Linked DNA regions of Coturnix japonica. The protein of the gene in region 1 purifies or fractionates together with the protein of each later gene. This does not show direct contact. Links are inferred from orthologs where the notes say so. Each region holds a gene or a part of one and is shown in the gene's direction. Other genes may lie near its edges.

Region 1 (10,543 bases):
CTCTGTTCCACCTGGAGCACGCTGCAGACTGCGGGGAGCTGGAAGCCATTGTTGGGTTGGGACTCATGTGCTCTCAGCTGCCACATCACATTCTTTCTGAGGTCACCTTAGAGGTAAACAAGGAAAAGGAAAGAAAATTTGAAAACCCAAAGTCGTGTTCACTTGGAAAAATATGAGAATAGGAGGAAATGGAGACATAGTGATGATGTTCTGTAGCCTCTTCAGAGAAAATGCATGACTTTGTAGTTAAGGACTTGGACAAAGCATCAAAACCACTGCCTGCTGATGATATTGCTGGAAATCACTGTGTATCTTTAGGAAGTTTTTTTGAAGTAATTTTATTATTCATCTCCTCAGCAATTTGGAGCCTGTTTTTCAGACATGTTCAACACTTGCAGCCATTAGTAACCTGCAGAACAGGCATTTAGTGTTAGAGAAAGGATGGGGTGGTTTTACTTAAAAACATTTGTCTTAGAGATTTTCCTTATTTTACTAGGACACAAAGGAGAACAGAAAAAAAGGATTTGATTATTTGCTGAGAGCAGCAGAAGCTGGAGACCGACCTTCCATGATTCTGGTAGCAAGAGCATACGATACAGGTGTCAATCTAGGTTCAGACAGGTACTGTGCATGACTGAGTAATCTAACTTCTAGTTAGTGTATTTGAATATTATAATTGCTGCACATCTTCTGTTCGCATGAAGAGCTATTAAGCCATAAGACCAAAAGCATATAACTGGTAATGAAAGCTCACTGAGGAGCTCATCGAGATAACTTCTCCATAAAGTGACCCCAGCCTCACCTGGTATAGTGACCTGGTGCTACAATGCAGAGTTAGTGAGCCTCTGTGAAAACATTTGTGTTTTTGAAGGCCATCAAAGCTCTGAAAGTCTAGTGCAAAATTGAATTCTGAATCTACAGTGCAAGGAATATTTGTTTCCTAAGGTAACAACCTTGTAAATGTTTTTTAACATCAGAGCACAGGATTGGAAGGAGGCTCTGTACTGGTACAACGCTGCCCTGAACATGACTGACTATGATGAGGGAGGTGAATATGATGGCACTCAGGATGAGCCCCGGTATCTGCTCCTGGCCAGGGAAGCAGAGATGCTAATGACAGGAGGGTTCCACCTGGACAAGGACCCACAGAGATCAGGTGAGTCCACGTTTTTTTATATATACATTGTTCAGCTGCTATAAAGCATTCAGAGGCTCGGTAATCTCAAGCTGTAATGACAGTGAGTGATGTAAGGCTGAAAATTCTGGGGGGGAGGGAAGGGAAAAGATTTCCCTGATGACAGGGGTAGTGGGTGGTGCCTGCTCCAGTCTTGTGGCACACCAAGAAGCTGGCGTTATCCTTCACTCCCTGTGAGGCCACTGAACTGCAGGTTGCTGCTTGTATTTTAAGTTAAGTTAAGTTATTTTTGTCCTTTATGATAAAGAGAAATGCCTTTATCTTGTCAGTGTGACTGATACTGTTTCTTGCCTTAGGTGATCTCTACACAGAAGCAGCAGAAGCAGCAATGGAAGCAATGAAGGGCAGACTGGCAAATCAGTACTACCAGAAAGCAGAAGAGGCCTGGGCGATGATGGAAGAATGACATTTCAATGAAGCAGTTCTTGTATATAAACTTTTTTTAAAGAATTACTACGTTTGCAGCTAAAAAGATATATTTTTGTGGCGTTAGCGGTTTTTTGTACTTTTAGTTTTCTAACTTCTTTTGAAGATGAAAATACAAATGCAGCTGGGATGTAGGTCACTATAGTGTATTTCTGTCAAGTGTTTTCAAGCTGTAGTACAGACACTCTTGACCTTTTATATAGACATATATTTTAACTCTTAGAACAGATGAGGCTGATTTTTTTTTTTATGTTTATTTTTCACTTTTTTTTGGATGAAGAGCGAACCCAATGACTGCTTGGGTTTCACATGTTCTGCTTTATATGCAGCAGCTGATCAGTGTGTTTACATTTTTCTTCTCCCCCCACACACAGAATAAATAAACTTCCCTACATTCACAGCATTTCTTCATTGTTGGCGTATCTCACCAAACTTGCATGTGAATGTAAATGTGCAATATAAGCATGTGAAGCATGCAGCTCCTCTTTTTAACAAGTCCCATTCTTTCAGTGGGCACTGGCTTATTTTCAGATTAATTCTAGATAGAATCCTTGGAGTTTGGAGAGGTGGAGGAAAAAAGATTTCAGAATAACAGTGAGGTTATTCAGGGCGGAATGTTGTTGCCAGCATTGCATATTTTACTATCAGAAGAACACCAATGATCCTAAGGAGGTGAGGCATCCAGCTACCGCTCTCATTTTCACACTTTGTACAATATAACAACCTCACTGTGTAGGATTCTGCTGATCTCATGTAGTACTTACCCAGTGATTTCCAGTCTGTACTGTATTTTACAGAGACATCTCAGTTCTTGGCAAAGCAAGGACATCTCGCTGAAAATGAGAATACACTTTCCAGCATTTCCAGAGGGATATTTGTAAAACGTAGGCAATGTTGATTTACCTATGGCTATGTATGGAAAATAATTTATCTGGTTTAAATGGCTTTGTGTGTTTTATCTGCTCTCTTATGGTTCACATAGTAACTTCACATGATGCTTTGATAGATTTGAGCTGAATGATGAAGGATAGATGCACATATATATGTAAATTTCCAGATTATGTTGGGTAATTTATTAAATACTACCATACGGTACAGAGCTTATTTTCCATGGTATTAACACCAGGGAGTTTTCATCTGAATTTAACATCATCTCCTGTAGTTTACAATTGAGCTTTCTAAAAGGTTCTTCAGAAGAGACTGAGAATGGTTTAATGGTATTAATTGTCAGTTACAGAAAATTGCTGATAAGGAGGAAACACTATAATCCCCAAACACTTGAATTCCTGTATCTTGTCTGCATAATCTTAAGCCATACATGGCGGTGGCCTTTTTGCTCTCCATATTGTTTAATTATTACTTGGTGATGAAAGGCAAATGTACCATTCACCTCTGAAGGTGGTTGAACAGTGAGTGTTTTGTGCTGAACTTACAGTGTAGGCATTCTAATGAATGGAGATAAAAGGTTTTGTTTTCCCTGTAAGGTGTTGGTGCCAAGAGTTTGAGGTTTTCCTTGAGAAGGAAGCAAACGTGCAACAACCCCACCAGCCATGTAGGGAGGAGAGGAGATTGAATGCAACCGTCCAAAATGTGTAAGTAAAGGAGTAGAGTGTAATTACTGACACTTCTTGATGTAGATTCATTTGCTACATTCAGTAATTACTGACAGCTCTCCATAGATCTGATATGTCAATGTCCATCCACATAGCTCAGTGAAAAAAATACCATGATCAGTAATTTGTTTGCCAATACTTTTTAATGCTGTAGACTACCCTGAGCCCTCGGGTGGTATCCTGTTAGTGAGCTGTACAGTGAGGAGGGCTGAGAGCAGTTTGAAAATCATTTACAGAAATATGCACAATTTGTTTTGTGATGTTCGTTTGAAGATAAAGAGAACTGCATTGCCAGGCTGTTGGAATGATGCTCTGTGCTGTGTTTTTAATCTATTCACAATGAATAAAGAAAAATCTGTATTTTTAAAAAATGTGAGAATAAGTCTTGAGGTTTGGCCTGGTGACACTTATCCGGGTGCTTTGTTCCTGAGTGTCAGTGGGAGCACGGCTGGGGTGAGGACATGATGGAACCCCTTCTTAGTGCAGCAGACATGCAAACACCCATCCTGTGTCACTCCCTGCCCCCTCCCATCATCTGCTTGGTAATAGTGCTGGGTAACTGGAGCAGGTGGTGGAAAGCACAACAGTTAGAGCTCGTTAGAGCTCATGGAGGCAGCCAGCACACTACAGGAATAGTCTGTTACCCTGCTGTGCTCCGTGGGACTGACATGGACCTCACAATTCTCCATGCAGACCTGCATTCTGTTCTGGGAGCAGCGTGACAGCCAAGACACACGTAGTGTGGGTGAGCTGAGTGTGGGTGAGCTTAATGTAGGTGACCTGAGTGTAGGTGAGCTTAGTGTTGGTGAGCTGAGTCGGGAGGTCTCACCTGTGCTGTAAAAGGGAGGATTCGGCTCCATCCCTGGCATCATTGCAGCACTGAGTCGGGCTGGTTGTAGTAAGCACAGATCCACCCTTGGGGCCCAGAGCCCCGTGGGGCCAGGCCTTTGGGTATCGTTAATAACCTTGTCCAACTCCTGCCTCAGTGTAACGCAAAGCGATGTAACCAGGCAGATAGCTTGAGTTTGACAGAAAGCTCCCTTTAATTTGGACAAAGCCCCGTGTCATCGCCGTACAGGGGTGGCGCAGATCTCAAAGATCTCACACGCAGCTCCGTGTCTGCGTCCTGCACAGGGACATTGGGGCCGTGCTGAGCAACTTCCAGTCTCCACACACTGCTGCAAGGAAACGGGCAGCAGAGCCCAGTTAACTTAAAGTTCCTGTGTCATGAGACATGCAGAAAGTTCCAGCAGTCTGTTTGCTGACTCCTCAAATTAACGGAGCTCTGGTTTTGCAGCACAGAACTGAATCGCGCCCCACGCTGCGCCGGACGCTCAGCCCCCTTCCCATCGCGCACACGTGGCAGCGCTCGGTGCCGTCTCGGCCGCAGCTGCGTTCGGTGCCGCAGTGAAAGGCAGCGCCGGAAGAAGCCGGAGCACGGCGGTAGCGTGGCCGAGCGGTCTAAGGCGCTGCGTTCAGGTCGCAGTCTCCCCTGGAGGCGTGGGTTCGAATCCCACCGCTGCCAGCGGTTCATTTTTTGTCTCCTCTGTTTCCTGCAGCGCCCCCTGGCGGCCGCGCCGCGCTGCTCCGGCAGAGCATTGTGGGTAGGAGGAGGGCCGGGGCCCCACGTGCCGGCCGCAGTGACACCAACATGGCCGCCGCCTGAAGCCGCCCGCCGCGCCGCGCACCGACACCGGGGACCGGCGGCCCGGCCGCCCGCGCGGCGCCTCCGCCAGGTGAGCGGGTGCGGGGCTGCGCGTGCTGCTGCGGGGCCGCGCGGGAGCGGGAGCGGCGGGGGGTGGAGGGGGTGCGGCCTGTACTGCGGGCTCTATTCGCACCGTGGGGCGGTGGGAGCGGGCGCGGGGCGCTGACAGGAGCCACCGGGCCGGGCCCTGAGGGGATGGACGGGGCTCCGGCCCCGCGGCTCCTCTCGGCTCCTCTCAGTGTCGGGCCGGGTCTGCGGGCTGCGCTGCCCCTGTGCACGGCTGTGCTCCGTGTGCCCACACGCCATTCGGGGCTGAACCTGAGAGGAAAAACGTTCGGTTCCCCCGTGGCAGTTCTAGACTTTCCTGGTCAGAGCATTTTTTCTCATGTTTGGTTCTGAATTGATGGTGGGAGGGTGGTTATGGCAGCCCAGCCTTGGTCACGCTGAGGAGATCTGTATCTTCTGTGCTCAGAGGCTCAATGACTCACACTAATAACTTGCACTGGTGCTGAGATGCACAGGAAAGTCCTTCTGTAAAGGGAGCAATCTTGGCAAGAGGAAACGTGAAACAAATGCTCTGGTGGCCATGATTGAAACCTCCTTGAGCTTCACTCCACTCTGTTATTCCTGTGGGGTTCCTTCCTGTATCTACGTGCAAACTGCAGATGCAGAATTAATTGTGTCTGCGTGTCTTCAGTGGAAGCTTCGCTCTGATCAGAGGATTCTGCACACGAATGTTGTACGTTGTTCTGGGACACGCTGCTTCCTGGTGTAGGTCTGTTCTGGTCCTCCCATGAAAGCACCTGCAGTCATTCCTTACCAATAAGTGGTTAAGAAAAGTTGTAATTGTGATCTGATGTTTTCTGTAAGTAATGAGCTGGATTCCCAAGGAGGAACCAGGTCCTTCAGGTTGAGTTTCTCTTTCTCATCTTGGCCCAGGAAATCTGAAATTCTGTTTGGAAAAGTGATATAATATTGTCAGGAGGGAAGGAGCAGCTGAGCACACACCTGGCTGTCAGGCAGGAGCAGGTTCCCCATCCCCACACAGGGCCAGGACAGAGGGCTCAGACCTGCAGCTCCCACCTCCAGGGCTGCCATGTGCTCCCGGTGCTGGCTCTGTTCTGAATGAAGGCTCCATTTTGTGCCGAGCTGTCTGTGTGCTGCACTGTGCTGAGCACATGGGATGTGCAGCACTGAGCTGGAGCTGACACATCTCACTGCTTGTGGCCATGGATGTGCTTCTGGGAGCTGCAAAGTGCCCGGTGCTCATTGAGCTTCAGTGCCACATCTCTTGGATAACTGTGGATGTTAGTGCGATGATCTGAGAAAACCATGTGTGTGTTGAAATATATTGGGATGGGTAAGTGGTGAATTGTGTACTTGAAAATAATCAGCACAGCTGGGGATGTAGAGTGGATGCTTCTGTCTCTCTTCTGTCACTGGCTGCCCCTTCTTCTTTCTAGGAAGCCCAGCAAAGAGGTGAGTGTGTGTCAGTGGTGAGAGTAAGATCTATTGGAGCAGGAGGGAGAGCTGGTGAGCAGCACGGCACCATCCTTAGTGACGGTGACAAGTGCTGTGGCTATTTCAGAGCCTGGGCATGTTGGCTGCAAAACCAGCTGCTGCCAGGGTGCACTAGTCACACAGGATATAAAGGGTATTGCTGCACACAAGTACTGAAGGCCTGTCCTTCCCTCTGCAGAGCTCTGGTTTAGTGCTCTCTCTTATGCTGGCTTTCATCAAAGTTTCAGGAGCTTAATTACTTTCGAGACTCTTGTTTGTGTTTGGAGTTGGTGGCAGTTGGTAGAGGTGGTGAGGTGTGAGGGGCCGCGTTGTGCCAACATGAACACTCCTTCACAACACACACAGCAGCTCAGCACTGAAAAGAAAGTGGTGTGTGCTTGAACAAACAGTCTAGGCTCTGTGTGGTACGTGGCACAGATGTAGTGACTCATATGACATATCTGTTTTCTTTCAGATTGTGCCAAGGAATAAGCCAAGGAAAAGCTTTTTGTATCCTAGCATGGCAAATGAAGAAGATGATCCAATTATACAAGAGGTAAACGTGCTTTGTGGCTGCAGTGGTTCTGCGTGTGGCTTTTTTTGTGTTATTCAACTTCTGTTCTATTGCTCTAATTACAATTTTGATGAATTCATATCTGTTATAAATGAAGCTGAAACAGTTTTATACCTTCTGCTAAAAACAAGCAGTTGTAGTGCAATTGTGGGCTTCCTTAAGGATCTTTTCCACCCCAAACAGTACCCAGTGTTTCATTCACTTTGTGTATGAACTCATGCACCAGAGATATGAGCGAGGACAAGCTTGTGACAAGCGGGGTTTGACAGAAGTGTCTCGAAAGGTACCTAAAATGGAAACGTCTGTGTGTGATCTTCATGACACATCTGTGGATTTTAGGTGTTGGTGGCAAAGTGCTTGTATTAAAATGAGATTTGGCACGTGGGTGTGTTTTGTCTAGCTTAGAAAGTTATCATGGCAAAACACCAGCAAGGAAGTTAACTTTCAGTCATGCTGCTGATGAGAACATCCTCTTCTTTCTCAGATTGTGATGATAGATTCACTTCAGCCCCACAGACAAACAAATTTCTTGTTTCATTTCAGAGACAAAAATATGCAGCGCTGTCTCCTGCCTCATCATAGTTGTGTTGTTTTTTTTTCTCTAAGAATCCAGCTGCTACATTACAAGTCAAAATCAGCAGAAATTCGACTTTTATCAAGTCATGAGTGAGATTTATATACAGTTCATAATTAGGAGCAATTCTTCACAGTATTTGAGCTCTAGGGATTGTACTTATGCCTGAGGCTCCATCCATCATAGCTGTTATCTGATGCAGGTTGTTTGTGTTGCCTTTCAGATTGATGTATTCCTGGCCAGAAGTCTGCTGGAGAAGTTGTATCTGTTTCAGGTATTTCAGTTAGCTTTTATTTAGTGAAAATTTGTTTAAAATAAATTAATGGAAAGAGCAATAGCTTTATTTACCTCTTACAGGGAACAGGCAAAGCTGTATGGTCTCAGTTGAAACATTTAGTATTAAATTGTTTGTAAGAGAAGAGTGATTGTTTATGGCATTGGCTTAACATTAAATCATTGCCTATAAACCCTGAGGGAATTATTTTAGGAGATGGAGTTTATTTAGTCATGGAGTTAACGGGTTTTCATGGCTTTACATCCTTTTGCTGTTGGATTAATGTGTTGTACCATTTTCTTGTCTTATAGCACATAGTGATGTGTTGGAGGCAGGAAATGGAAAAGGGTGAAGTGACAGCAGCAGAGGTTGGAGGGGAAAGCTTTCTAGACCATACTTGGAGATCTGATGACTCACAAGATTACAAAAGTCATTCATTGAGATCTTGTAACCATCGGGAAAGTGCCTTTACATGTAAAGGGTCAGGCAGGGTTTAATAAATTTCTGTGAAATTCTTTTGCTTTTAAATTAAGAATTTCTATGAAATTGATGTGTTTTGCAGTACCCAATTCGTCCAGCTTCCATGACATATGATGATGTTACACATTTATCAGCGAAGATAAAGCCAAAGCAGCAAAAGGTTGGTCATCATTTGAGTCCAGTCTGTGAAAGTTGTGTTACACTGTCTGGAATGTGCTTCAGGTCATTACACTGGGCTGCTAAGCTGTTCTAAGTGTGCAGCTTGTGGGACCAGATCTCTGTGCTTGGGGAACAGGGAGTCTGTCACTGTAAGACTGCAGGAGAGCTTAAAAGAAGAATGGTTTATTAAGAGAGGAATGAATGTCACAATGGAAAAAAATATATAAAAACAGAATCATTCAGGAAACTCTGGCTACTGTTATTCAGTCTGTACAAGATTGATTTTAAAGACTTTCACAATATTTAGAATTTTGTTGAGGTTTGAAGGCGTGCTTTGTCTTTTAGAGTCATTGTGTGTCTTGATTCTTCCTTTGCCTGGCTGTGAACCATCAGCTGTCCCGTTTGAGAATCAGTGGGGTGGTGAAAGTATAACCAAAGCCAGAATGATTTCACTTGACTACAGAAGAATTCCAAACCTGTAGCTGTGATTTTAAAATGCCTCATGTTAAAAAAAAATGAAAAAAACCACTCACGGGTGTGTGATAGCAGGATTCTTTTCTGGGAAATAGTTGAGGAGAGTGCTTATGTGAATTTTGGAGTCACAGCCTATGCTGTGTTAAGGATTTTTCTAATTAGAATTAGCAGATGTATAAATCTACCATCATAACCAGGGACTGGTCACTACTTCAGTTTACAAGTAACATGAAGGGGAATAAAAGTGAGGTGGTGGCTGTAATTTGTAAGTTTAATTGATTATACATCTGGAGTTCTGCCATCGTAATAATTTGCCTTTTCTTTCACATTTTTTAGGTTGAACTGGAAATGGCCATTGATACTTTGAATCCAAACTACTGTCGCAGCAAAGGAGAACAGATTGCTCTCAATGTAGATGGCACTTGTACAGATGAAACAAGTACCTATTCCTCGTAGGTGTCCTGTTTGCTTTCCTTTGTTTCTGCGGTGTGCAGATATGTGTATGTCCATTAGGCCCATGTCCATCCACACATCTCTTAATAACTCCAGGAGTGAGGGCTCCACCTTTGTGCCTCTCTATGAAAAAGTTCTTCCCAGTATCCAATCTAAACCTCCCCAGCACAACTTGAGGCTGTTTCCTTGTGTCCTATCACTTGTCACCTGAGAAAAGAGACCAACACCTCCTCACTGCAGCCTCCTTTCAGGCAGTTATAGAGAACTGAGGTCTCTCCTGAGCCTTCCTTTCTCCAGACTAAACAACTCCAGTTCCCTCAGTCATTCCTCCTAATCTTGTTTTGTAGTCCCCAGCTTTATTGCTCTTTGCTGCACATGCTCAGTCAAGTCAATATCCTTCCTGTAATGGGGGCCCAAAACTGAATGCAGTGCTCAAGGTGTGGCCTTACCAGCGCTGCATGCAAAGGATCAATCACTTTCCAGTCCTGCTGGTCACAGTATTTCTGTTGCAGACTATGGTGCCATTGGCCTTCTTGGCCACATGGGTACACTGCTGGCTCACATTAGCTGGCTGCTGACCAGCACAGCATGCTCAGGTCCTTCTCCTTTCCAGCCACTCTGCCCCAAGGCTGTACTGCTGGATGGGGTTATTAATGACCCAGCACTTACCCTTAGTTCATGTCATGTCATGTAACTTGGCCCATCAATCTTATCTAGGTCCCTCTGCAGAGCCTTCCTGACCTCAAGCAGATCAACAGTCTTGCCTTAGTGAGAGTGCACTCAGTGCCCTCATGCAGATTGTTGATTAAAACGTTACACAAAACTAGCCTCAGTATTTAAAGTATTTGCTGATGGACCATTTTGAGACTTTGTGATTTCAGGCCTTTTAACATCTGTATGCCACGTTGCCTGTAGCATATAATCTTACAGCATTCATCTGTTTGCAGGAAGCTGATGGACAAACAAACTTTCTGCTCTTCGCAAGCTGCAAGTAATGTTTCCCGCTATGCAGCTGCTGTTTATAGAAAAGGTGACTTTGTTTTGTTACCCCTCACATCAGTGAAATATGTGAATTTCTGGGTTAAATAAGAGCTGTTTGTTCTGTGTTTTTAATAG
Region 2 (10,459 bases), on another chromosome or scaffold:
GCCTCACCAGTGCTGAGTACAGAGAGAAAAACACCTTCCTGGTCCTTCTGGCAGCTCTATTACTTACATAAGCCACTGGACTTCTTGGCTACCTGGGCGCACACCACTGGCTCATGTTCAGCCAAGTGCAACTAACACCCCAAGGTCCATCTCCTCTACACAACTATCCAGACATATTGCTTTGTTGTCTACAGTGAGTAGACTGCAATGCCAGTCCAGAGGACCGTGAAACTTGAGAACAGTCTGTGAGACCCTGACATAAAGGTCTGTGGAACCAGACTCATGGCAGTACAAAACAAGATATGTTTAAATCAAAGAATGCACCTAAATGAAAAGAATTTTTGCAGAAAAATTAGAATTAGAAGACAAATTTGGCCTGGTTATTTTCCCTTTCCCATATATCTCTACGAGTACATTATTTTCATCTTACTCTAGTACCTCACCTTTGCACCTGCTTTTCCTCATTGCTTTTTGCTCTTTCCTTGGATACACTCATTTAGCAAAATGAGAATGGAGGAAATTTGAAATACCACAACACAAAGTATATATTACGTTTTTAAGCAGCATAAAATTGCAGGGGAAAAAAAGGTTTTTACTGCTGTTGGGATGATCAGAACGGCAGAGTTAAAGCAGCGTTGAAACCTTAAGCAAAAGTGAAAACTACAATGTCAGTGAGCCAACGTCCAGCAGGAGGAGCCTCCGAGCTTCCTATATGGATTTTGCCTGTATACTAGTTATATTCATAAAAAATACTAGTTATATTCATAAAAGCTACCTCAAAAAACATTTTCAGACTCATTTACTGCTTTATAAGGCACTCTTATTTGATCTACCAGTTTTGATGTATAAAACCGAGAGTTTACTACTTCAGGATCTTGAAGTAATTGCTGGAAGTGTTAGGTTCCTTTTAGGCATCAGGAAACAGACAAGCGAGGAAGAACAGACTAGTCATATAGTAAGGACATATCAAGCTTGCTAGAGAAGAAGGAACAAAAGACATGCCTGTCCCTTCAATTTCTCTAATAGTTTTTTCCAATTCTGTAGTCTTCAAATTGGCCCACAAGTCAACAGCAAACTTTCTGGCAGTTTACAGAACAAAGAATTTCATGTTCATAGAGCCAAACTAAATAAGGGCAGCATTTGGACATTTGATTGAGAATAATATATGACACACCTAAGCTTAGAAAGCATTCTAAAATGGAGGAGGAAAGAATGCTGTTTACTGGAAAGCAATGTGAATGGCTTCTGTACCACAGATGAGTTCTAGAATGGAGCTACCCAAGCTTGATTCTAACTTACATTCCTTGGTAATGCACCCTGTACAAACCTGCCTCTAACAAAATATTTTCTACCCTTATTTGTCACTGTCCATCCTGTTAACCGAACAGATAAAGGTGAAGCTTTGGTAATACAGATCTACTTTATCAGATGTTTCATTAGAAATCATACTTGCAATAAAACTGACTTTATCTGAAGTCTCTAGTCTTAGAGCTCCCAGATCTAATGCCATCGATACCTTAGTTCAATCCTTTTTGTCAAATGGGGTTAACTTACCCTATTTGTGAGGCAATTGAAGATCCTCCACAGCAAATATACTGAATTCAAAGCACTATTTAATCCCTTACCGACAGCCTAAAGTGAGACAGGGCACGAGTAGAAAAGAGAGGTACAAAAGAAACGTTAATAAGAAGTGGGACGACAGCTGAGAAAGCTTCCCCTCTGTCTATACATGCTTTCACTGCCACATCCACCTACCAGCAATGAGGATAACTGATGCTACCTAGGGAGCAGTGTCGGGGTGAGGGGGCTCTCTCAGTCACCTGGACTGCTGGACACGAACACACAGCTTCACCTCCTTATCTAGCACACTGCTGGGCTGAAGAAACCGACCATAGAGGCCCCCACCACCGAGAACAGCCTGAGGAGGTCGGCGGGGCTGCCAAAGGAGATGAAAGGCGAGGCTGCCCTCCCTCCCGGCCAGCTGGCTGGGAAAGGCGGGGATCCTGCCGCCTCCACAGCTCGCCGCCCAGCTTCAGGGCCCGTTGCCCTTAGTGAGAAGCCGCTTCGCTTCTCTCCACCCACACCGGCTTCTCACGTGCGGCTGCAGCCGCTTTCCCTCGCTTGGGTTTGAACTGCCCGCCTTTACCAACCGCTCCGTTCTGCCACCCCAGTAGCGCAGCCCTAAGGCGAGAGCAGGGCGGGGGACGGCCTGAGGAGCGCTGCCTCCAAGGATGCGGACGGCACCATCTGGGCTCCGTGCTCTCATCGTACTTTATACTCCAGCTCGGCGGCTCCCGCCGCTCCCAGCCCTCCATAAAGCGCCCCGGTGCGGCCCCTCTGCCCGTCCCGTTCTGTCTCTCTCAGGAGCCGGGCTGAGGCGTTCCCGCTGCTCACAGCTTCTCAGAGTCGGGCGGGAGGCACCTTCAGCGGGTAGCCCGAGCCCTCACAGGTGGAACGTTGTCTGCACCAAGAGCTTAAAATCTGAGATGTAAGGGTGCTGATTAATTCATTTTAATTAGCTTATTTGTACCCGACAGCTCAGGAGCTAGATAATCATACAGAACTTCTGTTTTTTCTTTCATGGTTTACGCTTACGGCTCCACCAGAAACACTGTGAGATAAAACATGCTTTAAATCGTTGGGAGTAACTCCGAATGTAACGCCTCCACCCAGGGCAGAAAGATGGAGGTTCTCCGTGGTAACTAAGGCTGAGCAGGGCGGGCTCCATCCCCCCCAGAGCGGGGAAACGGGGCGTCTCGGTGTACGGGTAGTGCGACCGGAGGGTAACTGTAACGGGTAAAAACATTAGGGTTTTTGCGCTGGTTCCTCGTTCCATTTTAGAATGCGAATTAAAGAGTTTAGAAATGGAATCCAGGGTTTCCCAAAGTGCTTTCTGTAGCAGTTTCACGCCAGTCGGAAGAATTTCTCTTCAGGACCGGCGTTTATCAGCCCGTCGGAACGGGGCTATACCCCGAGGGAGGCGGCGTGAGGCACAGAAGTAATGGACGTTTAAAAAGACTCCATCCCACCGGGGAGCAGTTAAATGATGGATATAATCAAGATAATGAATGATTTTCTCGGGACAATCGATATATATTTTTTTCTCATGGGGTATAATTAGTAAGTAGGTTTTAAAGCATCACCTCGATGCTTTAATCATTTCGTCAAACCCGTTTTAAAATACAAAACGAGTGCGGGGAAAGATTATCGGCTTTACTTTAATTTCAGTGATTAGTTACTTGTGAGGTGTTAATTACTTTGTGTCCATCACCGGAGGAAGGGATCGTTCCGTTTTGGTTGGTTGATTTTTGCTCCCGGCAGCAGCTCCCACCTCGGAGGACCCGGGGCAGCGAACATCACTGCCGTGCACGTCCCGTTATTCTTACATGTGTTTTATTCCGGCACTAAGAAGTTACACTTAACTTTATTTTCGCACAGCAGCAAGACAAAGCCGATGAGCCGCCTAGAAATCCTTAGCACGTTGTTATTACTTCTAGCTTTCCCCAGGAGACGGTTGTTATTCGGCGTTCGGAAAGACGCATTTCCTCACATCAGGGAGATGTTATCTACAGAGCAGTATTTGTTATACGTTCTTACGTACCTGAGGACGTGCCATTACTCACACAGGGACGCCTAAGGGGCACCCAGCACTCGCCCAGCTGTAGGGCTGAGCCGGTGACTGACAGCACCGCGGCTTGCCAGTTTGTTTCAATGCGGGAATACATGGCACAGACCGCAGGGTACCGAGATTTAGTTACCAGCGCCAGGCTCAGCTCACTAGCGCTTCCAACTCTCACTCCCCCAAGGCTCCATCAGCCGCTATCCGCTGTAAACCCGACACAGCGCCTTAAGGACGGCGATGCAGACCCGCCCCCTCCGGCTTTGCGTAGTGACGCCATCATTCGGCGCCGAGGGGACGGCGAGGAGTGTGGAGGTTGGTGCCGCTTTCGGCTTATCCCTGCCGGGTTGGTGGTGGTGGTAGATTCGGGGTGAGGGGGGAGTGGGGAAAGGGTCGACCAAGCCCCTGGGGGTCAGTGGGGAGGAGGCGTGGCTGGCGCTGAACCGAGGCGGGCTGGGGGGGGATCATTGAATCATAGGCTCATAGAATGAGCTGGGTTGGAAGGGACCTCAAGGATCATGTAGTTCCAACCCCCCTGCCTGGCAGGGCCACCAAACATACACATTTACTAGATCAGGTTGCCCAGGGCCCCGTCCAACCTGGCCTTGAACACCTCCAAGGATGGGGCATCCACAACCTCCATGGGCAGCCTGTTCTAGGACCTCACTGGTCTCCTAGTGAAGATCTTCCCCCTAATATCCAACCTAAGTCTACCCTCTTTCAGCTTAAATCCATTTCCCCTTGTCCTGGTATTATCAAGAAGGGGAGAAAAAATGCTTTCTTTCTCTGTATGGTCACAACCTTAAAACGTAGGTCTGCAGTAATACCTACATGTTAGGTGGGGGTTGCTAAAAAATGAATTGTTTGTGGAGTAGTTGTCTGATATTGTGAAGGAATGTTGGTGAACCTGAAGGCAAAAGGTTAGCGTGCCAGGACAAACAGAAGTCCTTTCCAATGTGTATCATCTTATGTAGCATATATTAAACAGAGCTTGAATATTTTTGTATTTATTTTAAAAGAACTTTTTCAATTTCTGTCAACTTTAGATGGAGATATTGAAATATTTGTGTAAGACAACAACAAAAAACATGTATTTTATTTGTTGTTTTTGCTTAGAACATGGATTCACAGAAGGACGTTCAGCCCCCAAAGCAGCAGCCAATGATTTACATTTGTGGAGGTAAAGAAAAGACATTAGTGGTATTCAATGCTCTAATAATGAGGAATGTGCAGTCATAGTGCCACAGAGTACAGAAATCTACATAACTGGGTTGTGGATCCTGATGATGCATTAAGCTTTATGCACTGATGCTCCCATATGCATGGATTACTTGTGGTTATTGATGTGGAAGTCGTTCACTAGAACCTCTGTTGCTGTGTGGGGGTCCTGCATCTCTAGAGGATGATAGCAGAACTTTTATATATTGCATCTTGGAGACAAAGTTTTTTTGGAAATAGTGTTGTCATTCAACTTTCACTAATGCACAGTTGTCAGATTTTCTCTACCTAAACATAAGTTAATAAAGTGAAAATTGGAGCTTTTGAGTAACCACTTTAAAAGCCTCAGAAAAATTTAGGCTTAAGAAAATAAACTTGGTGGCTCGGAGGGGCTGAGAGGAAGGTTTCATTAGTGGAGTGTGGAATGGTACAGTAATGTTTGGATACTTTTTAGCAATCTAAGTTTGCCAATTCTTTTTTTTTTTTTTTTCCTTAACAGTATCTTAATATAATTCAGTTACTTATTAAAATTCACTGCAATTATTTTCTGTTATGCTTTGTTTGCTAGTAAAAGGAATTAGACCATTGTTACATCTGAAAGCTATCTGTGCTTTAGATATGCTGCTTTTGTTCACTCATTGCTATTCTCCTTCTCCATCATATCAGAATGTCATACAGAAAATGAAATAAAGGCAAGAGATCCGATCAGATGCCGAGAGTGTGGGTACAGAATAATGTACAAGAAAAGAACAAAAAGATGTATCCTTTTACAAAGGCAGTCGAATGCATTTGGGAAGCTGTGGGGCAAGCTGTGTAAGAAAATTGACTTCAGATTTATGCATTCCCTCTTTTTGTTCTCCTTGACCCCTTTCCTCCCCTGATCTTTCCTTGAACTGCAACGCATTTTTCTTTAACTGCACAATTCCAGTGGTGGTTTTTGATGCCCGGTGATTTGACCTGAAGATACATCAATTTTATACTTCAGTTTAATATTTCTGGCAACTTTGCTCTGTAAATCCATTGGTGTATAAATGCATAGTTTAGTGGTTTAAGATATTAAAATATTAAACTTCACTGTGATACTACTTGCCATACCATCTCAATTCTGTCTATACTACTTTTAGAAATGGGTTTCTTCCTTAAACTTTAGTCAGAATGTGCAGCATTCTGTTAAATTCATTGGTATTATATTCATTTTTGAGTTAAGTGTTAACCTTGTTTTCACAGCTCACACCTAAGCCTTACCTGTGTTTCAGCTCTTCAGTGTTTTTTGGACTCCTGTGAACTGCATAAGATAATCTTGGTTTGAATAAATCCCAGTGAAGACATATTGAAAGTCACGCAAAATCAGGTCTGAAATTTGGATTTGAACTCGACAGGACCCAAATCAGGATAAAAATAAATGTGTAAATAGAGATTCTCAGGCTGTTTTGTGACCTTGCTTGTACTCACTAAAATAAGTAGGTCTACAGTATAAAGAAACCTTGGATAAGGTAAAACTGAAATAACGTCATTTTGCTTTTCGGATGATTTCTCATGAGTCTGTATTAAGAAGTGGTTGCCGTTTTGTACTGATAAGCCCAAACTTTTTGCATCCATTTTCCTGTTCAGAACATTTATATTCAGAATATTTAATACTAAAATACCCATAGCGCCAATTTGTCTTAAAAAACACTGCTGCTTTGTGTGTGGTGCTAATTTAGCCTGATTAAATGCTTGCAAATCCAAATTTTGTTTCCAGTGCTGATGAGGCTGTTGAAAGACAAACATGTCATTTCACTGTTATCTGTACAGTATGATACCACTATTAGGGGGTGTGCTGGCTGCTGCAGAAAGCAACAGGGATGGGTTTTAGTGGGCCCAAGGTTGTGGGCAGTGGTGAGGCTCAGGGCACTTGGAAGAGCGTCGGACTGGATTTAGACTGGATGAAATACTACACTGAAAGCTGATGTTTTATGGAAGCTCAAACTCAACGGCTGTATTTCTGAAGGGAATACCCTCTCTGAAGTCAAATCATTTTTAAGAACCATTTTATGGAAATTATATTTAATAAAATATAAATTAAAGCAGTGTTATATGTTCCTAATAGTCAGAACGTTGGAGAGCTGCAGCTCGAGCGACCCCGCGCTGACAGGGCCGGCCGAGCCCCTCAGCTATTCACTCACTACGCGGCGCTCCTTCGCCATCGCTCCGCTGTGCATGCGCGGGCAAGGCGGGCGTCCACGGCGGAGGTGAAGGCTGTTAGGAGCGCGGTAGGTGGGTGTCAGGGCCGTCGTGTAACTCCGTGTCCTCCACAGAGCCGGCGGGGCTCTGCGGCTCCTCGCAAGGGGTTGGCTGTGTGGTTTCTTGCGGCTTCTCCGTCTATTACCTCCCCACAGCGCCGCCGGCCGCCATGTTGTACATAGCAACGGCTGCTATGTTGCCATTGCTGCCTCTCGGTAGATCTCCGTGAAGAAGAAATCGTGGCATCAGGTCATCAGGCAGTAGTTCTGCTGCAATTAGTACCTTGTAGCATTAAAACACGGCTATTCCTTAAATTAGCATTGCTCTAGCCCCCAGAGATTTATTTTTCTTTTAATGTTTAGTGATGAGTGATGCGTCAATAATGTATTTGCTGGACCAAGGAACTACTAAAACATATCAAATACCTATTGGTCATCTCGACTACAAGTTCATTGAAAAATGTACGGATGTTCCATACCTGGAAAAGATTCTCAAGGTGCTAAGGTAAACGTTATCTTTAATGAACTTCATTACTAATTGTATTCCCATTCTATCTCTCTTGAACCTCTTTGTAGTTTTCGTATTTAAAACCTTGAAATTAAGATGCACTGTGAAAGTAATTGTGGTAAAAGCGTCCAGATGATTAAATGAAGAGTTAGAAATTCAAGTCCACAGTGGATCTGTGTCTGTATGTCTGCTGGAAAATGGTTAACTGAGATTTTCTGATCAAAATCAAGAGGTGATAGATTTCAGTTAGAACAGGAAAATAACACTCTATAGTCACTGCATACAGACAAGTATGGATGTTTGTGGGGAATGCAGCGTAATTTAGTTCCCCTGTGTAACTTGCTTATGTGTTCATTTTAAAGGTCTGGTGAAGAGGGATGTTATCCTGACCTGATGTTGTTTTGTGAAAAGCGTATCGAGCATTTAGCTCCAGGGAGCAGAGTTCTCAGAAAGGATAAGCCAGCAGCCACAGCAGCTGATTTTACAGCTGAGGAATGGGAAACAATTAATGGTGAACTGATGGTACTGTATGACTCTAGTTCATTGTGGTCAGTAATGTAACCTCTTTGTTTGGTCAGTCTTGACTGATTGTTCAACCTCATTTTGTGCTTAAGTAGAACACGATTATTTGATTAAATGAGGAAATGATAGGAGGGTTCTGTTGTGGTTTTCTTTGTTAATATTTATTGAGATAATGCTAATTACTCTTTAATACCCATCATAACTCTACAGAACATATTTGTATATTATTATTCATTCGAAAAAGCTCAAAACAATTGCAAACTGCGTATAGAGAATGCACTTTTCACAATCTTTTCATGAAAGAGCAGATCATTTTTTCCATACTGTTCAGTATGGAACATACTGAAGATCTCTTTGCAACTGAAAATATTGAAGAAGTCTAAGTGGGCATAAGCATTTTAGATTATATTATTTTAGCCAAAAAACCAGAATCTCTAGTAGTGTCATTCCTTAGTAGCACCCCTTGCCTGTGATAAAAAATCCAGATGTATATATAACAGAAACACAGAATCACAGAACTGTAGGGGCTAGAAGGGAACCATCAGAGATCATCAGGTCCAGCCCACATGCCAAAGCTACAAGCTGCAAAGGTAGGTGTTCAGACAGGACTTGAATATCTCCAGAGGAGGAGAATCCACAACCTCCCTGGGCAGCCTGTTCCTGTGCTCCATCAGCCTCACTGTGAAGAATTTGTTTTGCATGTTGGTGTAGAACTTTTATGCTCCAGTTTGTGGCTATCTGCCCTTGTCCTGTTCCCACAGACCACTGGAAAGAGGTTGGCCATGTCCCTTTGACTCCCACACTTAAGATATTTATGAACATTAGTAAGATCAACTCTGAGTCTTCTTTTCTCAAGGCTGAACAGACACAGGCTGCTCAGCCTTTCCTCATTGGGGAAATCCTCCAGGCCAGTTATCATCTTTGTAGCCCTCTGCTGGACTCTCTCTAGGAGATCCCTGTCTTTTTTGTACTGGAGAGCCCAGACCTGGACAGAGCATTCCAGGTGAGGCGTGACCAGGACAGAGCAGAGGGGGAGATTCACCTCCCTTGACCTGCTGGCCATGCTCCTTAAATAATGAAGTGATGCTTTTTATGGCCCAGAAATTAACATGCTATGAATTGAATTATGTAGGAAAAGATAAAGCAGCAAAACTAATCTTACGAGAAATTAAGCGTATCTATTTTTAATTAGAATCTATGAAAAAACAGGTGAATGCTTTTTGTTGCTTTGTAAATGTAGAAGGTCAGTTGGAGGCAATTTTGTTCATAGCATGTTCTAATCAAATCATTCTCTTTCTTCTTGAGACTAATTGTTTCCTGTCTTTTAAGGGTGATTCTCCAAGTGCTTCTGAATGATTAAAAGCACTTCTATTTTTTGCATATTTCTCTTTATAATGGTTACCATTTTGAGGCTCTAAATGATGATAAAGGAATGTGCACTTGTGCTGTGTTCATCATTAGGTTTTCTTGAATTGACAATGTTATGAATAGAAATAACCCTTTAAACTTAAGGAACTTAAGCTTATGTTTAAGGTTTTAAAGCTTGATTTTAAGCTTTATTTTTAATCTTCATCTTAATTGCTTTTCCTCACGAAGAGCTTTGCATTGTAAGGATAGTTGCAGGGTCATTTTAGACTATGATGTGTATCTGTTGTACAGCTTTAAGGTACGGAGTCTTACTTATTTTCAGAGCTGGGTGGCAGAAATGAATGAAGATGATAATAAACCACAGTTTTTGAAAAGAGGCACACTGCATGAAGGACAGGATAACTTGCCTCCCATTCGTTGTTCCAGCAGCTGTCTCCCCACTTTCCAGGTATCTTCAGTTTTCTCAAACATTACTTTTACAAAAGTATGTTAATTATGTCTATCCAAAATCAGCAAATTCAGATTTTAAGAACTTCTATTCATTGAACCTCTCTCTTACTAGATGTATTTTGTTAACCAGAAAATAAAACTCTTTAAAGTGTCTCGTAAGAGACCAGTGCTTAAACAAAACTGCCTCTTTCATACTAACATGCATCTTGTAATTATCTTTTAGTCTTGATCAAGTGTTAATTTCTGAAGCAAATCTTAAACACCCTTTTCTGTACCTGTACATTTCAGGGTAGTGTTAAAGAGTATATGCTAGGTTTATTTGGGAGGTTTTCTTTTTACTGGTGTGGAATCATGGAATGTATTTTCCACAGATGAATGAAGAGTGAGCTTTATAACAGGATTTCCCTCTCTTACCTGATACAGAAGTTTCTGTATTCATAATCATGTTTCTGTTTCACGCTGCCTTGGATTTTGAGGTTACATCTATACAGAGAAATAAAAGAGGATCGGGAACACAGCTTGATTATTTCTGTTTCTAATTGTCCACACTGC

Evidence for each region.
Region 2: the proteins of POLR3E (region 1) and POLR2K purify together in Homo sapiens (affinity purification with mass spectrometry; 3 studies listed by BioGRID and IntAct, with this or other methods). This does not show direct contact. The link is inferred for Coturnix japonica from reciprocal best matches to the Homo sapiens genes POLR3E and POLR2K.

Annotation. Positions count from the first base shown.
Region 1 is NC_029529.1:8,323,855-8,334,397, forward strand, and holds the start of POLR3E (DNA-directed RNA polymerase III subunit RPC5), read left to right. Parts: upstream 1-4,844; 5' UTR 4,845-4,970; intron 4,971-6,914; 5' UTR 6,915-6,959; coding exon 6,960-6,995; intron 6,996-7,810; coding exon 7,811-7,861; intron 7,862-8,423; coding exon 8,424-8,501; intron 8,502-9,310; coding exon 9,311-9,426; intron 9,427-10,374; coding exon 10,375-10,457; intron 10,458-10,543. Other genes in the region: EEF2K (eukaryotic elongation factor 2 kinase), read left to right, coding at 1-113, 497-621, 978-1,156, 1,492-1,601. UniProt on the Homo sapiens protein: DNA-dependent RNA polymerase catalyzes the transcription of DNA into RNA using the four ribonucleoside triphosphates as substrates.
Region 2 is NC_029517.1:116,284,200-116,294,658, forward strand, and holds POLR2K (DNA-directed RNA polymerases I, II, and III subunit RPABC4), read left to right. Parts: upstream 1-3,839; 5' UTR 3,840-3,859; coding exon 3,860-3,934; exon of another isoform or gene 3,935-3,965; intron 3,966-4,735; coding exon 4,736-4,799; intron 4,800-5,503; coding exon 5,504-5,596; intron 5,597-5,765; coding exon 5,766-5,788; 3' UTR 5,789-6,254; downstream 6,255-10,459. Other genes in the region: SPAG1 (sperm-associated antigen 1), read left to right, coding at 7,425-7,564, 7,930-8,089, 9,780-9,905. UniProt on the Homo sapiens protein: DNA-dependent RNA polymerase catalyzes the transcription of DNA into RNA using the four ribonucleoside triphosphates as substrates.